Linked DNA regions of Lytechinus pictus. The main gene of each other region encodes a partner of the protein of the gene in region 2 in a complex. Links are inferred from orthologs where the notes say so. Each region holds a gene or a part of one and is shown on either strand. Other genes may lie near its edges. The genes, in order: N6-adenosine-methyltransferase catalytic subunit-like and putative RNA-binding protein 15B.

Region 1 (9,049 bases), on a different chromosome or scaffold from region 2:
TAAAATAACTTCGAATTACACAAAATAAGATTCCATTTATTGTTGTACAATTACTAGTATTTTAAAATAAAAAGGTACAGAAACATCCCTAAAAGATGAGTACATTTGACCCATACAAATATATTTTCTATTATTCATTAATAAAGTTTTTTTTTGAAGTAATCTATTATTATCAAAACATATTTGTCAAAAAAATTATATGAACAATTAATAATCCAATAAGCCACCAATATATTACCTCTTGTTCTTTAAATGATGTTGAGGTAAGAAGGTTCTCTAGAGTTAGGTCAATAACCTCATCTTCTTTTTCTGATTTTACAGCTGACTGTTTGGCAGTAGAAGTAGGTCCAATATCCTGATCTGAATCAGATCTATGCACATAAAAATCAATAAATAATATAGTTCATAATGGGAGAAAGCTGGTCCATTTTAAGAGAGATATTAAGCATTGACTAACTTCATCTGTCATTTATTGTAATTTACAAAATTACTATTTGCGAGAATGCTAAACCTTGAAGGTAGTACAATATCCCCCTGAGTTTCAAATTGCTCACTCTAACACTCCTTTCTCAGAATGCTATATTTTGATCATGTAATCTTATCTGATATATATACCCACTAGAATTACTATGGTAAACCACTTTAATCTTTAATATTTAAAAGAAATATTAGGTCCCAAAATTGTTTTAAAAAAAGTACAGTACAATTCATTTCACCCCTGTTCTTAGACACAGATCAAAGACTTGAAAATTTACATCAAAATTGTTATCAAATAGTAGTTATATAATAAAAAAAAAAACTGAGCTGTAAATTTTATCCTTATAAAATTAATTGGTTTGGGCACAGATCTGATGCACAGTATCATAGCGGTAGAGGTAATGAAAATATTTGTTTGGACTTCTTAAAATAGGGTAAACAGAATATAATTGATAGATCCTACTTTAACCACTGAAAAGTCAATAGGGTACTGCATTTCTCTACTCATTGAACTGAAGTGATGCTTCATGTTCAGAGTGGATTCATTAAATCTTTTCCTTTTATGACTTACTCTTCTCTCTTTCTTTTCCTGGATTCAGTCCCATCAGAGATACCTTGACTTCCTGCAGGTACAGTACTCTGGTAAATTAAGAAGAAAAAATGAAATGAATAGTAAACTGATCAGCGACATACTTTGGAGGGCAGAAAAATAAAGAAAAAAGATAAGTAACACAGGTTCTTAAACCTGTAAATACAGTATTTCATTGACCTGGAAAAATCTATATTTTCTAACATTTACAAGATAATATAAAATCCTGAAACAGTAGTGTAACTGAGGAAAAATTTTCTAAGAAATATGCGTATGATCATTACAATGCAATTGTAAGTTTACAACACATGTTTGAATAAAAAATGGATAAAAATCAAAGGAACAAGTGTATTCTTACTGAAAGACCTACATGTACACTATCAGTAATTTGTGGGTCATGGGGCACAGGTGGCATCCCCCTTTGCCATAAATTTTGCAATGTGTCCCTCATTTTCAGACAAGTGCCCTTCTTTTTGAAGTAATATTTTTTTCAAGCGATTTATCTCTGAAACATGATCATTTTTTTATGAGTCACATTATATTTTTATCTTCTCAGCAATTTCTGTATCCTCTCATCTACAAAATATATATACTTCATCTATAAGGGATGTCATGTACCTTGTGTTAAAATGCATGATTTTATGATTTATTCCTATCAAACAACTACAGCAATGCTCTACAGAAAAACACCACCATAAAGAAAAACAATTATTCTTTACATTATCAGCTTTTATATTATCATTTGTATCTACCGCAAGAAGCTATAGCAAAAGAATGGGGTTTTTTCAATAAAAATTGACAAAAAATTGACAAATATCTACAAAATATCTTTTAGTGATCTATTCAGGGCCAGTACTACACTATAAACCAAGTAAAGCATCTTGCATATGGGCAATTTAAAAAAGAAATTGACAGAAACTTGACAAATATCTAGAAAATATATTTTAGTGATCTATCCAGGGCCAGTTCTACACCATAAACCAAGTAAAGCATCTTGCATAGGGGCAATTATATCTGCAAAATGGATTTTTGTCATTTATACAGAAATGTTCGCTGCAATGTAAGTTGTGTTTGAGTCTATGCCTCCAAAGTCTCTGATTGCACAGAAGGAAAATACACAAACTGATTTGATGTTTGGTGTGTAAAGAGTAAAACAACAAACTCAACCAATCTTATGAGCTGTGTTTGACAAGAACACCATTTTTTCCTTAAATATATCTATCGGGCCTATTCAACATCTACAGCAGTAATCATACATTTCCTTTGTTTAAAGGCAATATTGGATGGTTAAAATATAATTAAGGGTAAAGAATTTTTAGACTATGGTAGTACATTATCTTAGGAATCAAGCAAGACTGAATTTATTCTGAGAGTTATCAATATTTGACTGTCTTGTTCAAATACATTTTTCATTGATTTTGGCCTCTAGGGCCACTTCATAAAAATTTATTGTGGTAGTACATTGGGAATAGTCAGGTATTGCATTAGAAAATACATCAAACATTACAAATATGCAATGTCAGCAAAATCTGACTATGTCTACAATCAATTTTACTGCAAATGGTAAAAATAGATAACCATGTCTGCTCTGACTCAGTCAAGTAAATTGGGACTAGGAAATTGCTGCTGACTTCCAAGATTATAAATGATACGATAAACGATGAGAACACTATTCAGTATACTACCATAAATTCTAAACCTTCTTGACCAACTGTAGAATACCTTTGGAATAGGAACTGGAGCTGATCCATCTTCTTGTTTTATTCCTGTTTGTATTGATGAGGTACATGTACTACTACTCTGTGCAGGCACACTATCAGGTGGAATAGGTGAACTTGATACTTCCAACTTGAGTGAAACTGGTTTGTTCTCTGACGAATATAATTGAAAAAGGACATATCAATACAGAGGCATTAGAAACCACTACAGTGTGGACTTGTTTTCTTTATCTAAATCCAAGCTCATACAGTCATGTGGAAATGAAATATTCTTTCCTCTGAGTTTTCATGCATTTTCTTTCAAGAGTGAAAAAATTAAACAACACAGGGCTGCCAACTCTCACGCAATCTGCGTGAGTCTCACACAATTCACCCGATTCTCACGCTGAACCCCGAAAATAGAGAGAAAAAAGTTTATTAGCCTATATCGGATATTCAATAACATTATAACCCGGACAGGCAAAAGTTTCAAAGTTTTTAACCACACAAGCGCAAAGCTAAACCATCAATGCGAATTGGTTTCGGTTTGCTGCGCAAAGACAAGACATTGAGTTGCGATTGGCTTACTGTATCCCGTGTATGACTATATTAGTATATGAGAGCTGGTGACGTCGAAATTTTACTATGAAGCGGGGTTTTTGTGCGAGGCACAACAAGCGATCGAGTGTCAATGCAATGCCATGCTACTCAAAAGTTGGCAGCCCTGCAAGTGCAACATAATTTTTGCATTTTAATTAAAAAGTCGACATTTAACGTTATGATATTCCCCTTTCAAAAGCAAAATAATGAAACATGATTGAAAAGTTTCCAATTCCATTTTTTTCTACAAAAGAACATTGATATTTCACTTTCAAAAGCGAATCCAGTTTCCAAATGATGAAACATGATCGAACAATCAACCATCTTGACTCTTGAGTCACATAACCTTGGGAGGAAAATATATTTTTGTGATAAAATGTATGTATTAAATTAAAATCAATATCAGAATAATCTACGGTATGCCGCCTTACATAATTTTCAACTTATGGGACTACAGTCATGGCAGTCCTTTCCAACTCACCAGTTATTCCTGTTGTAATTTCCTTCCTTCGCATCAACTTGGCCTTTAAATCTTCTCTCTTTTTCTTAAGAGCCTCCAAAGTACTAGCCATTGTCCTTGATTGGCGATAAAGTGTTACAATAAGAGGAATATGATCACAGTATTGCCATTCAACAACAGTCTAATCCTCAGTTGGGAATTCAGCTCACATGTAATTTCAATAGCTGCGATCACAGAATCGTGATATCTGCATAAGAATTGCATTGCGCATGCACGGCTTGAAGAGAGGGATAGAGCGGCACCGCGGCGCGAGTGCGGATCGGATCGAGCGCGAGATCGAGAGGAACATGGGGAACCACCTTGGGTGTGGCCGTGACGCGATCTCTATCGTCAACAAATCATTTTGTCTTTGACTTTGGTCTAGCTAGACCTACTCAATAATGGGTAAATTGCAGGTATTTGAGGTTGTTTTCGAAGGTAGCAATGAAGTGTTCAAACCAGGGGATACCATCCAGGGACACGCAAGGATAGTTTTGACGGGAGAAAAGGGAGACATTCGAGGTAAGTATACCCAGTTGTTGTGTGTCCGGACAGGTTGTGTGTCCGGACAGGTTGTGTGTCCGGACGATCAATTTTAGAAAGTCATTTGGAAAAAATTACAAGCGAAGTTTCATCAATTTTTAGTACAAAACGTTAGGAAATATTATAAAGAACAAAACAGAAGATGATTACAAGTATTGAATTCATATTTTTAGTGTAATCCAAAGACAAAAAAGAAGGCTTCAAAAAGATAAAGTGTCCGGACACCCGACCCCCCATCCTACTAAAGTAGGAGGAATTGCCAATTGCCTTGGAACTAAGGGTATGGCTTGGTCAACAGGGGTATGGTGAGACTACCACATATCGACCACCTCTTTTGAAACCGACCACCTTGCGCACGTTAAAATTATTGCGTATTACTAACGATACGCACGGGAGAGTAGGCGCAGTGTCCATAGAAACGGTAAGAATTGATTTTACGAGAAAAAAAGAAGCAACAAGAAGTAAAAATTTAGTAGAATTAATCAAAATTGTATTGACCAGACCCAATTAAACCCCGCTGAAAAACCAAGAAATCCAATAGGAAACGGCTCTAGAACAAATATCCGTCGTCAATCGTTCAATCATGTGTCGGAGCTCGCAGTGGAAGTAGTGAGACGATCATTTAGCATGTTGACATCATAGAACTGATTTGGAAGAGTAAAAATATTTTGCCACCGCGACAAGAATCGGTCGTAAACTCAATGTACCGCGGGTGGTCGGTTTCAAAAGACGGGTGCAAATGAGCAAATGTAAAATCGTCGTATTCGTTGTTCGTCGATATATACGCGGATTGAATCGGAGTCGCCGAGCGAAACATGGGAATCTGATCTGCTCAATTTTCTGCACAAATGAGACGAAAACTGGGTAAAATTGATCGCAGATACGATGCTTAGAAGATTAGATGGTCGATAAGGGGTAGTTCCAACCATACTGCGGTATGCATGTCAGATCAGATCATCAGGGGCCGATTGCACGAAAGGGTCTTTCCAAGACCAAGGTCAAGGCCGCTGTATGCGGCATATTTCTTAAATGTATGATAAACAAATAAAATTTGTGAGATAGCATTTAAATCAATTTGTATACAATTTCAAGATATATCACATCATTTCATAAACAAAGATTATTATTTTTGTTTACTTTATCGGATGAATAAAATATGTTTGCAGGTATGGCAAGTTCCCCCAAGTCTGCGCATGCAGTCCCCCTTGTCTGCGCACATGCTTATCTGCGCAATTCTAGTAAAAGAAGATACGCAACGAACACAGACTTTACAAATGCAATACATAGACAGATATTCATCAAACAATCCGACTCAAAATATTGGAAAAATAATGAATTTTGGGCATTTCATGTGACGGCCTTAAAATGCAGCCTTTGTCATCAAAATCCCCGAATGGTGTGCAAAGTGAAGGGGTGCGCAGACATGGGGTACCATTTTTTTTTTCATTCTGATTTCTCCAAGAAAATCCTATATATTCTTTCAAATTTTTATGAGATATTTGGCACACTTTAATACTCCTAATATAATATCAGGAACATCATTACCGGCTAACTGAAAGATTTTGTGAAATAGAAAGAAATTCGTGTTAAATCTTAACTCATATACCGGTAGCTAGGTGCGCAGACTTATAGGGACCACGGTGACCATCATAATTTATTTAAGATGCGTTTCACATGGCGCATCATAAATGGGCGACACGGAAGACGGTTCTTGCAGCCTTATCTTGAAATAAGTCACCTCTCTTCTTGTGTGTGTCAGTGTGTGTGTGCGCTCTTTGTGTACATAGTCAATGGGAGATGGAGTGGTTACTTAAACCAGGATAATGCCGTTCTGGCAAAGACCCTTTCGTGGAATCGTCCCCAGGACCTCAACAAAGAGGTCCGCATTTCCTGGGGTCCAGCGTCAGCAGAGCTCTGTAGTGGTACTGTACTGGGGCCCAGGGGTGGTATTCTGAATTCTAATATCCATTTTATCTCAGAGTCAGATAAAATAAAATATTTTATCTTCGTTAAAATGAGTGTGATAAAATATCCATAAAATCTCTCCAAATTGGTATTCTGAGAACCAGTTTATCTTCATTTAATCTCTGTAAGACACATCTATCATGTCTATTTTTGAAGTAATATCCAATGAGAAAGTGAGAAACATCAATTGTTTTATAATTATAGCACTTTCATCTCACTCAACTAATCATTGATATCCATTCCGCCAGGAGGTATGGCAAAGGAGCAAGATTATGTCAATTTATTGAATTCAAATACGCTTGCACTATGCGCTAGGGCATTTTTACAGAGATTTCTTTTAAAAATATGACAATACTCACAGAGTCCCAATGTCAATATCGCATCATCACCAGCATCATTTTAGAGACAATTATTAGTCCAGAAAATATTATGAAATAATTCCTTATCATACAGGAGTAATGTTCAGGTATTATACTATTACTCTCAATGATATAATTTTTCTTTCAAATTTGTCTTCAAGCTTTTAGAGCTAATTCACTTAGAAACCATGCTGGATTGGACGACGCAGAGATAAAAGAGGCCCCACCCTATTTTAAGTTTCTTTTTAAGTTTCTTCTTCAAAGTAACGTGGGTACACGCACATCATCTGCGTAGCAATGGCTAGATACGCGATGGATATTTCTATGTAGGCTCTGCTCTGTCGCGTATAATCTTTAGATATGTAGATCTAATGAAGTTAAGTTTGCTAAAATTTCATATTTTATCTGAGAGATAAAATGTCATCTCAGAAAACCAATTTCATTTTTGAAGACAAAATGAAATATTTTAAAGATAAAATTACCTCAGAATACCTCAATACCACCCCTGGAGCAGGACATCAAGATAAAGTTCTTAACCCAATCAACTCTTAGTAACGGGGTATGCCTTAATTTTGACTTAGTTTAATATAAAGAACAAAGTCTGCACTTATCTGACTTCATTTTTGCTCCAGTCCAAAAACATGACCAATATGATTACAAATATCCAACTTATAATATGACTGATTGCTGAATCCTTCCCTTGAAAATACAAATGGATCCCCGGAAATGGATCTAAGTTTAAAAAAGAATAATTGCATCATGCCGGCGCATCTTCACCAATGTGCAATTCTTACTCCATCCATGGTAGTACACATGTTCCTAATGCAAATATAGTGATGAGTATTTTTTTTTAAGCCTAAAGGCCAATCACAGAATGAAAATTTTGCAGAAAGGAAAGACCTAACTGTTACTAGGTTTATGCATTAAACAAGAATTAATGAATACTTTGCTTTGCATATTCTGGTATACCTACAGAGCATATATATGTAACCAGCGGAATTGACAAAAACTTCATTCATGGAAATAAAAAGTGATAGAGTTACAATTTTCCTCGCTCCCCTTTTCTCTTTCTCCTCCCCTTTTCTCTCTGTCTCTCTCATGACTACATGCAGGTATTAAGGTAATATGCAAAGGCAAGTCCTACACTCACTGGACTGAAACACGAGGCTCCGGAGATCACAGAAGAACCATCCATTACACATGGAAAATTCCATTCTTCAAGCAAGAAGTCATTCTCCGTGGAGCAGGTTAATATTTCTTTGCATCCATTTGAATTTTGATTCATCTATAATTTATTTTTAATGGACATGTATTTGAGATACTCTCAAGCTCAGTTCCTTTGCTTCACACATATTTCATTTTTCTAAATGAATAAATTTTCTGATCATGTATACTTAACTATTTACTGATATGCATTGTCATAGATAAGAAATAAGAGAATTTATTATTTAAAAAATAATGTATCCATTTTAAAATGGCATAGCCTATGTGTGAACTTTACACTGTAAATTTATGTTTGTTTTATCAATATATAACTTGTTATTCATTGAATAAATGTTCATTGGTCTCCAAATATACAACAATTGCTGCCCCCCAAAAAAAATCACAGGCAGCTGGGCCCGTATTCCATAAACGAGATAAGCTTTTTGCTTAAGTCTTAGCAATTTGTCTTAGCATATTGCTTGTCTAAGAAATCTTCCCTAACGATATTCTATAAACTTTAAGACATTTGTCTCAAGTCAGACGATATGGCTAAGCCAAAGTCTCAAAGTCAAATTCTATGACCTTCTAAACTGCTGCAGGGGTGACTGCAACAAAATAGCAAAAATGTCATTGAAGTTGTTTTTTCTTAACAAGTTTGATTTTATTGAAACTAATTACAACCATTGTAGTAAAAGAAGAGCATTCATCACCCATATATGGTAAGAATTCTTTATTCAGATTATTCTATATTTTGTTAATTACCAAAACATTTCAATCCCAAACCGAGTGACTTGCACAGTTTTTTATGTATCAGTCCCATTCATTACTTTTCATGTATTGTTTGTCAAAATCTAAATGGGATAGGGTAGATTCCTCTCGACATCTTTATTCTACTTCAGTTGAAGTAGACCTAGGGTCTAAGGGAAAACATTTGTAACTTTTGAGACTAGTCTTGGGTCTAACATTAGGCCTAGATCTAGCCTAGGCCCAAGATCTACAACTAATATCCGTCTGTTTGGAGGAGAATTGAACATTGTTTTTACTTTTTACTTTCCTGAAGGCTGAAGCAAAAGCCAAAACGTAACTTTGTTAGTCTAGTGCCGTAGTGGAGCAACTG
Region 2 (9,042 bases):
ACAAAGGGTTTTCATATGGTTCCACTCCCATTGGAAGTATATCAAGTAAATCACATCACTGTAATAAACACAATGTATCTACATGTACATCTTGTAGCTGAAAGACTTGAGTGTTACTTCACAAAGCAACAGGGTTTTTTTTTCTCCTTGAAGGCATTTCAGGATCAAAACAAATTTACTCAAATCACAGAAGCATCCTTCCACTTGAACGCGCAGCTGAATTAATCATGTGTCATAATCGCTGTTACTCACATTACATTAAAAAAGATGCAATTTTGCTAAAATATCTTACCTTCAAAATTCAGCTTCTCAATCATCAGTGGAGATTGGAATTGTTGTCATGGCTGCAAATTTGAAGCTTTATTCTCAGTATGAGGATAGAGGAGTGGTGGATCAGGAACATTTTCAGAGAAGGGATGTGACAGATTTGTAACTGAACTGAGCCCATAAGATAAATTGTTCAAGATATTTTAAGGTGCATTTGACAGGTAGCTAATGGAAATGGGGAGCGTGCATTTGGGAGGGCAATCATTGCAGAATTCCATTTCACCAGTTGCTACAACTTGAAGACATTCCCATTCAACAACTGATCCGGTCATGATGGCCTTGCTACAAAATGAGATGCAAGCTTGTCCATTTTATGAACTGAAAGAGCGCCCATCGATGGCCATTGCAAACCAAGTATTTTGTGTGTTGCTTATCTTTAGAGTGCCAGTTATGCAACAAACAGTAAGAAGTTCTTTCATGAAGAAAAAGTATGCCCAACTCGCATACATGTACTACATTTAGTGTATCCCAAAAAATAATTATGCTGAGAGTAAAAGAGTAAATTACATTGTCATGCATTTAAAATTCAAATTGCGATAATTTAATTAATAGAAAAAAAACTCATTGAATATACATGTTGTCTCATATACGCTGTCTTGATGAAAAGGATATACTGTACAGGGGACTATGAAATATTCCATTTACAATTTCATGAATTTCAGTAGAAATGAACATTACATATTTGATCACAAACTGCAATGGTTATGGTCATCAAATTTTTGTTTTTCACATGTAACTCTAGGATAAAAAATCCCATAGGATCTTAGTTTCACTTTTACTCTATAACAGCCAATGCGAAAAGAGCTGAATAGGCAGATTTCTTTTATTCTGGCTGAGTGTAAAGTCAAGTTCAGGGTAAATATTCAGTATTGTCAAAAATCACTGACCGGATCTGTATTTCTTTTAAGCTAGAAATCATATTAGCAATGATAATGTAACACAGAAATATTATTCAACAAAATAGAAATAGGCTTAAAAAGTTCAAATAACAGTACTGAAAATAAAGTATTATTGAAAAATGATTTTGAATTCACAAAGTAGAATACGTTTTTGATTTCTGTCCTGCCATTTAGGCCATGTTTAGGGGTTGACTCATCGGGATGCAAATATCAGTACAAAGTTACTTCAACATAATAAACAACTTGTTATAATCTACTTCCTAATACTTCATCAATCACACATTTTAAAACAATTGCATAAGATATTTCATCACTAATTACAAAATATACACAATTTTGCCAAGCATTCTTATCTGAAATATGACAAATACAAGTGTGCATGTACATGCATGAAAAGATTCCCAATTGAATGTTAAGAAGTTTTATTTTTTTATTCATTTCTAATTCTATAACTTTACACACTACATACCAAGGCAAATTATTTAGTTAAATTACTCTAAAAACATATTAAAAACCTATGCTGCCCCCTTCACAATGATCACAACAAGATGATCCTCTTTGCAAGGATCTGGGCCTAAACCAGGAGCAATATCAAGAAGGTACTTGTGACTGAATTCACATGGTGGAAAGGCATGAAGGACACCAACGTTATCCTTATTTTGCTCTCCACTAACTGGTAGGCTGATAACTCCAGCAGCTTTCTTCTGCTGAAGGTAAGTAACCAAGTTCACCAAGGCACGTGCCTGGGTTCCAGATGGTAAAGAGTCTGAATCTTCACTTGTTCCAGCGAAAGAAAGCAAAATTGCATGACCACTAGATCCAGCTTGCGAGATTCTTTTGCCCACTTCATCAAGCTTAGGTTGATCTAAACGTAAGCGCTGTGTGATCCTCAAGGCAGACTCATCACTTCCTAAGTCATGTGGCAGCAGAGCTTCAGCAGTGTCTGCATCTCCTCCTACCAAAAACATGCGAGTAGCAAATGCACTGTTCTTCAACACCAAATGACCTCTCCAAGACATTGGTAAGTAATTTAGAAGATCAGACAAGTTATCTAAACTATCTGGAATTCTGGAGCGCCTACTACCTCGCTTTCGACGACGTTCCATGGGTTGACTACCAAAATCCTGGTCAGAAAGATCACTACTTATGGATCGTTGACGGCGTACACGGCCATCTGGTGAAGCATCCCAATCACGCCCATGTGAAGAATCTCTAGGTTTCCTTCGCTCAGGAGACCAATCACCACCAGGGGACCTACGGCGCTTAGATGCTTTCACATTGCTTGGTGACCAGTCATCCCTACCAGCGAAATCATCAGGGGATCCATTTCGCCTTCTACGATTATCACCTCGTTGCATCATTCTTCCTGATTGGTCATTGTCCCTTCGGTTCCAGTTATCATTTTTGTATCGACTACCAGACTGCCAGTTCCCACGACCTCCATCAAAACCTCCTCCCCCTCCTTGCCACTGATCAGATCCATCACGAAATGATGGAGGTGAAATATCTCGACCAATATCTCTGTCTTGATTGTAACGATTGTAGCCTCTGCCACCTGAGCCATCATCATGGTTGGGTGGTCCTTGGTATGGTCTAAACTGCTTTTTAGTTGTCTGGATGCCAGGCCCATGTTCAGCAAAGTCTACCCGAAGTCGTTTGTCTGGTCCTCCTAAAGGAACACCACGCATGTGGCTGGCAGCTGCCTGGGCTGCTTCTACAGTTTCATACTGGACGTACGCAAATGAATCACCTTTAATATAATCAATCTTTCTAATTGCTCCAAAGCGATCAAACTCTCTTTCCAGCACACCCAATGTGATCCAAGGCCCCAAACCTCCAACCCATAGACAATTTGTTGGAGACTGTTTTCCATATCCTGTCTTGCACTGATTCCTCCCAATGTACTGGCCAGACATAGAGATTATTGCCTTATAAGCCATATCCAAATTTTCAAATTTCACAAAAGCAAAAGGATTTCCCTGGCCTCGAGGTGGATACTTGATGTCAATTTCTTCAACAAAGCCATATCTCTCAAAATGCCTTCTTATCTCACTTTCTTGGATACCATCTTCCAAGTTACCACAAAACACTGTACGTGTAGCCTTTGGGTCATCCTCAGGCAAAAATGTTGCATCACGGTCTCTATCACGACCTTGATTTTGGTGATACCCATCATTTCCATAGTTACGGGAATTTGATTCATATCGATTAAAATCTCTATCTCTTCCTCTGCCGCCACCACCACTACTGCCCATATCCTGCCTGTAATTCTTTCCTTGCATTCCACCACGTCTCCCTTGAAAATCATTTTGTCTATTATTCATGTAACCACCATCATGCCCTTGCCCCTGATTATGATTTGTTTTATTTACAATTGCTACAATGTGTAACGGTCTTGCAAACAATGTAAGACGATCACCACGAGCTTGCATTGCATCTCTAGCCTGATCTGGTAGTCTAAATCTCACATAAGCAATCCGCTCATTTTTTGCTTGACTGAACACAACACGCACATTTACTTCACCATATTTCTTAAATTCATGAAAAAGAGCATCTCTAATTGCTGTATCAGAAACATGAGAAGGGAAATTTGTGATTCTTAAACAATCTGGTTCTTTCCTCTGAAAGCCATCACTTTGGAAGTTTTGAGGACGATCATAATTCTGCGGGCGATCATAGTCATCGCGGGGTGGTGGACGCCTATCGCCGCCGGTCCCACGCCTGCCACCGTCATCTCTCTCCATGCTCCTCATTCGCCCTCCCATTTTTGCACCTCCCCTACCATCATACCTGTCACTCCCAGGGCTCATTCTATCTCGATCTGGCATTCGCTGCATTTCAGGACTATCCCTCACCCTCCTCATAGGTTTTCTACCCTGCTGACGATCCATTTGCAGTAAATTTCACAGCAATTCAGAAAGTTAAACTCCTTCCTGTTTCATGCTTTATCAACTACACTGAGCAAATATGGCCGCTTATTCTGCGTTGCATCCGGGTATGTGCGCATAGTCTTATCACCAGACAATGTACACTGTAAAAAAAAATTCTGAATCGGTAATTAACACTTAATATATTTAAGTAGAATATACAATTTGTAATTATTTTTCGTTTTTAAGTAGTTAAGTAGTTTTAACTTGTCTTTTAATTTACTTGATTTATTTGGGTTCAATATACATTTAAGAAAATTCACGTATTGATAGCTTGCTTTGATTGAGTAAATCTAACTCAATTAGGCAAAGATGAGTACTACTTATAAAATCAAGTTGAATGTACTTATATTTTTCAATTAACGCCATATTTTAATAATGCATGAATATTCATTAGAGCAAGTAAATGTTGTTGTTTTTTGTTAATAATTGTCATATCTATTTGTGTCTGAAATTGTTTTGGATAAGGGTGTGCTAACTAATTTAATCTTTTGTTGAATCAAAGAAAGAGCAACATTAAAAGTCATTTAGCAGAAAATTTCAGATTCTTTTTAGGTTTTCGATGCTTATATTATTCTCACTGTTTTATTTGTAAGAATGAAACGATCACATATAATTTCAAAAGATGTACGAACCCAAACACGAAGGGTAAATATGATTTACTATCAGTTTCCATTGAAAACGATTTTTAAAAAATGCCTTTCGCCAGCCATCGCAAGGCATATTTCAGGCAATTCGGTTAGGGGTGAGGGGGCCTTTAGACGAATCCAAACGTAGTCATACGATGTGTGAGAGAGGAGAAAATAAGTAAAACGGATTGGTGAAAGTTTGCAAGGAATCTTACAAGTAATAAGACAGTTATAGTTGTTTTGAAATTAAGATCCCCAAGAAATTTAAAATTGACAACTTGGTTAGTAAATGTTGACAATAATTTTCCATATTCATCAATTCAAATAATTATAACTTACCTCATTTACTTTACCATTTCATGCCTACTCAACTTATTTTCCCTTTTCAGCATTTAAGTTCTGCTCTAATCTTACTTTCTTTATTTCTTTTCATTTTTGTTTTTAAATCCTTCGTGTTTGTTTCCCTTTTCTTTTCTTTTTCTTTTCTTCCCCTGTTCTTCGTTTTTTGTTCTTGTGCTGTTTTATGTTTTGTTACCTCTCTGTCTGTCTTTGTAGACAATTCTACAATAATTATTTAGAGGGGTCCACACACTACAAGCATTTAGTTTGCTTTTGTTGCTTAGTGGATCCCTCCATTTTCTCAGATCTTTATAATGTTTATAATAATTGTTTTTATATAATACTTTGTTTTACTTATGGTAAAATATCGCATATTGTACATATACCTCAATGTAAATTGTTTGTATAAGTTTCATTTGCAAATGTCATTGTAATAATTTATGACCATTTTATTTCTGTTGAAAATCGAATAAAACCAAATTTGAAAAAAGGGAAAAATCGGGGATTTGTGGTTTACAAAATTACTGAAACTTCCGTCCATAGGAACATTCCCTCCCTAAAATAGTATTCTAAAAAAGCACTTCGAGCTGCCAACCCGGGGAGAATATTCTTTGAATGAAAATAATCCTGCCCCCCCCCCCCATTAGCAGAAGACGCCTGCAGTGTAGAGAACCTGTGTAGTTACTCGCATATCAACTTTATGATTAGTCGGCAGACCTTTATACTTTATACTGTTTTAAAGTATTCTTTTATTGCTTCTTCCAGTGAATACAAACACAAACTGATAAATTTCATAACTTCATAAATGATACATCATAATAGCTTCAGCTCCATCAAAGAACCAGTAAATAAGTAAAATTCATAAACATAAATTCACAAATTAATCCATTCATTTTCCAATTCACTTGAAGAAATTAAGAAGTATAAGACAGAAAAAAAAGAATAATAAACACTCCCGCACATCCCACACACAAAAATAATAAATCCTTGTCCTTCAGGTCCCCTCCTTCCCCACCCGCCCTCCCCCGGCCGCTAAAATCTATACCCCCCCCTTACGAAATCCTGGATCTGCCCCTGCCCTATATAGATACTGACCTTCGCATGTATGCATGCACGTTATCGATTATCTTGTTTCCTTCCTAATGTAATTTTGAAACGTCCTTCGTTTGATTGTTTTAACCAATTAGTGCGCCTATAACCTATTTCTCACCTTTCCAATATTTAAAAAATACAGCAACCCCCCCCCCCCACCCCCGGTGGACCGGAGAGGGGATAATATATCACCTCATTATCAGAGTGTGTTGCGAATGATACATGTAATTCTGGCATAACAAAGGATATACATATATAGATATATGCATATTGTCCTCAATAGTTGGTTTGGATTTTGGAGGGCTCAACAATTGAATGTAACAAAGCAGAAGAAAACGCAATTACCCCATGGAAGGGGGGGGCTCTCAATTAAGATGTACATGTACTTATGTGTTATCTGACTCCATTATTTTTCCATCGTAGAACACCCCAGGATCTTATTCACGAATGTACCAGACGTTAAAATTAAAGCACAACATGCAGCCTACAGTTTGAATTTTAAGAAAGGAAATTAGATAGTGTAAAATAATGTGCATTTCTTTCTTGTTTATTCTGTATGGCGTATATACGGCCTTCAAAATATTCTCTGTTTCTTTTATTTTATTTCCTTCGTCACTACTTTCTTCCGTTATTCCCAAATCTTCCCACCACCCAATAAAACTTAGCAAGTTAATCTATAAGGGTAGTATACCCAGAAAAATGTTATGGTATAGACCAATAAAAACTCGCACATAATATATAAATCTTTAATTTGCCATACATACAGTTTTTGAAGAAAATTTTAATTCCTTTTTATCAGGATTCTTACCAAAGTCTATGCGGGGGAAACTTTTGCAGCCAAACACAACAAAAAAGCAGCTCTCCTTTTTATAAAATATCTTTTTAATGAATCAAGATTGATCAATACAATTTGGCAGGAGTGCTTCATTTGCTAACTTGTGCCAAGAAATCTAATTGTCAAATCAAACATGAGTGAGCATGCATTATCGATCAAATTATTACTTTTTCAAAAATAACAGGGGTAATTTCTAATGCCAAAATTGAACATTTAAACAATAAAATATTTGATTATCTTACATCATGGTTGTAACCTTATCATGTTCATATGAAAATATAAACTATTTTGAAAATGATTTATTCATTTATTTAGTAATTTATTTGTCAATTTATTTACTTTCTTCATTTAAAATGCAAAATTTCAGAAAAGTTGGACATTATTTATTAACACACTTACTCATCTATCCACCTCTTACCCCCCCCTCTCTCTCTCTCTCTCACACACACACATATCACAATTTCCCCCTCTCTCTCTAAATATTTTATTTTCTCTACCGCACCCCTCCCTTTCTCAATTACTCATTCTCTTTCTTCCAGATCAGCTCCCCAGAAAATGGTCTTCTCCGTCTACCACATCTATTGTATGATAGCCTTTTGACAAGGCTCCACGGACATAAATGTGTTTTCACCATTGCACAACAATAAAAAAAAATAAAAGAGTTTTCTGCGGAAAATGTTCTCAAAAGAAGTAGATGAAATTAATCTGATTGTGTGGTTGGGTATTTATGAACTATACGGTTTTTGATAAAGATATCATGAAACACGGAGGGTAAAGGACCAGAATTCTAGGCATAAATTCACCAAGTTGAACTAAAAATAGATTTTTAAGATGTTATGTTCGAAGAATAGTGAGTCATTATGGGCGCATATATATGTGCCTTGCAAGAGAACTCTCTTTTGTAGTAATTAAATCCTTTCAACGAATGTTTGGTGTGAGCTGCCCCAAGCAAGAAGGCTGAAGTTCAAATATGGTAAAATAAGGGATGAGTAGAGCATGAATACAAAAGTGATTGTGGTTGATGTGATTTAAGTTTGTTGATTATACCGATAATGCGAGAGATTATTTTACAGATATTTTGAAGGTGTAATTTCCAGAAAAGTTTATTGTCTACTGAAACACAGATAAAATAAGTATGAGATACTTGTTTTAAAGGGGGTATTGTCAAAAATAATATCAGTGGGTAATAGGGAGTTACTAAACAAAAATATAATTCGTCTTCAGAAGATTAAGTGATATTAGCCCTTATCCGCTGTAATATGTTCCGTAACTGCATTAACAACATTAAAAAGAACATTGGGATAATTGTATAAAAAAATAAATTAGTATCATCTGCAAATGAAATGAATGACAAAAATTAAGTAGACCTATCATAATGGTAATCGTTTACATAAAGAACAGTGGCGGATCCAGAATCACAGGGGGCGCCCCCCCCCCCCTAATATAAAATCTAAATCGGCGCCGGACAAGAATAATCAGCGCCATTTGGTTATAAATCAGCGCCTGGTTCCAATAAATAGGCGCCGTTAGAATAATGAAGAAGGGCCTATTGCCAACCAAATCTAGATCGGCGCCGGTCAAGAATGATCAGCGGCACCTGGTTATACATTTATTGTTGAATGTTCATAACGAATAACAAAGCTTATCGCATGCCCTTACAGAGTGGACTGGGGAGGGGCAGTTGCCCACAGATGTCATGAAATCTTTAATTTGTTATTTAAAAAATCCCAGAATCATACAAAAGTGTAGAGCAAATCCTTTAATTTTGATCTTATATTCCAATGCTTTAATAAAAAAAAGGTCAGTCACTTTTCTTCTTTACACATTCCACATTGTGCCACCTCTATGGCCTTTAGTGTAAGACAGCTACTATCATGACTATAGTGTTTTATGAAGATGATTCGATATTTTAGTCCAAAACTTTGCTAAAACCCGTTGCTAATACCGGGAGTGTATAATTACGCAACCAGACGTATATTCGTTAGACCTTAAAC

Evidence for each region.
Region 1: putative RNA-binding protein 15B (region 2) and N6-adenosine-methyltransferase catalytic subunit-like share a complex: the UniProt entries of both Drosophila melanogaster proteins name them as parts of the WMM complex. The link is inferred for Lytechinus pictus from reciprocal best matches to the Drosophila melanogaster genes nito and Mettl3.

What each region holds. Positions count from the first base shown.
Region 1 is NC_087246.1:25,856,686-25,865,734, reverse strand, and holds the start of N6-adenosine-methyltransferase catalytic subunit-like, read right to left. Parts: upstream 4,408-9,049; 5' UTR 4,385-4,407; coding exon of another isoform or gene 4,264-4,384; 5' UTR 3,936-4,263; coding exon 3,845-3,935; exon of another isoform or gene 3,746-3,844; intron 2,938-3,745; coding exon 2,789-2,937; intron 1,117-2,788; coding exon 1,049-1,116; intron 372-1,048; coding exon 239-371; intron 1-238. Other genes in the region: arrestin domain-containing protein 3-like, read left to right, coding at 4,264-4,384, 7,842-7,976. UniProt on the Drosophila melanogaster protein: Catalytic component of the WMM complex, a complex that mediates N6-methyladenosine (m6A) methylation of mRNAs, a modification that plays a role in the efficiency of mRNA splicing and is required for sex determination.
Region 2 is NC_087247.1:53,157,435-53,166,476, forward strand, and holds the start of putative RNA-binding protein 15B, read right to left. Parts: upstream 4,234-9,042; 5' UTR 4,118-4,233; coding exon 1,742-4,117; 3' UTR 293-1,741; intron 1-292. UniProt on the Drosophila melanogaster protein: RNA-binding protein that acts as an associated component of the WMM complex, a complex that mediates N6-methyladenosine (m6A) methylation of mRNAs. M6a modification plays a role in the efficiency of mRNA splicing and is required for sex determination.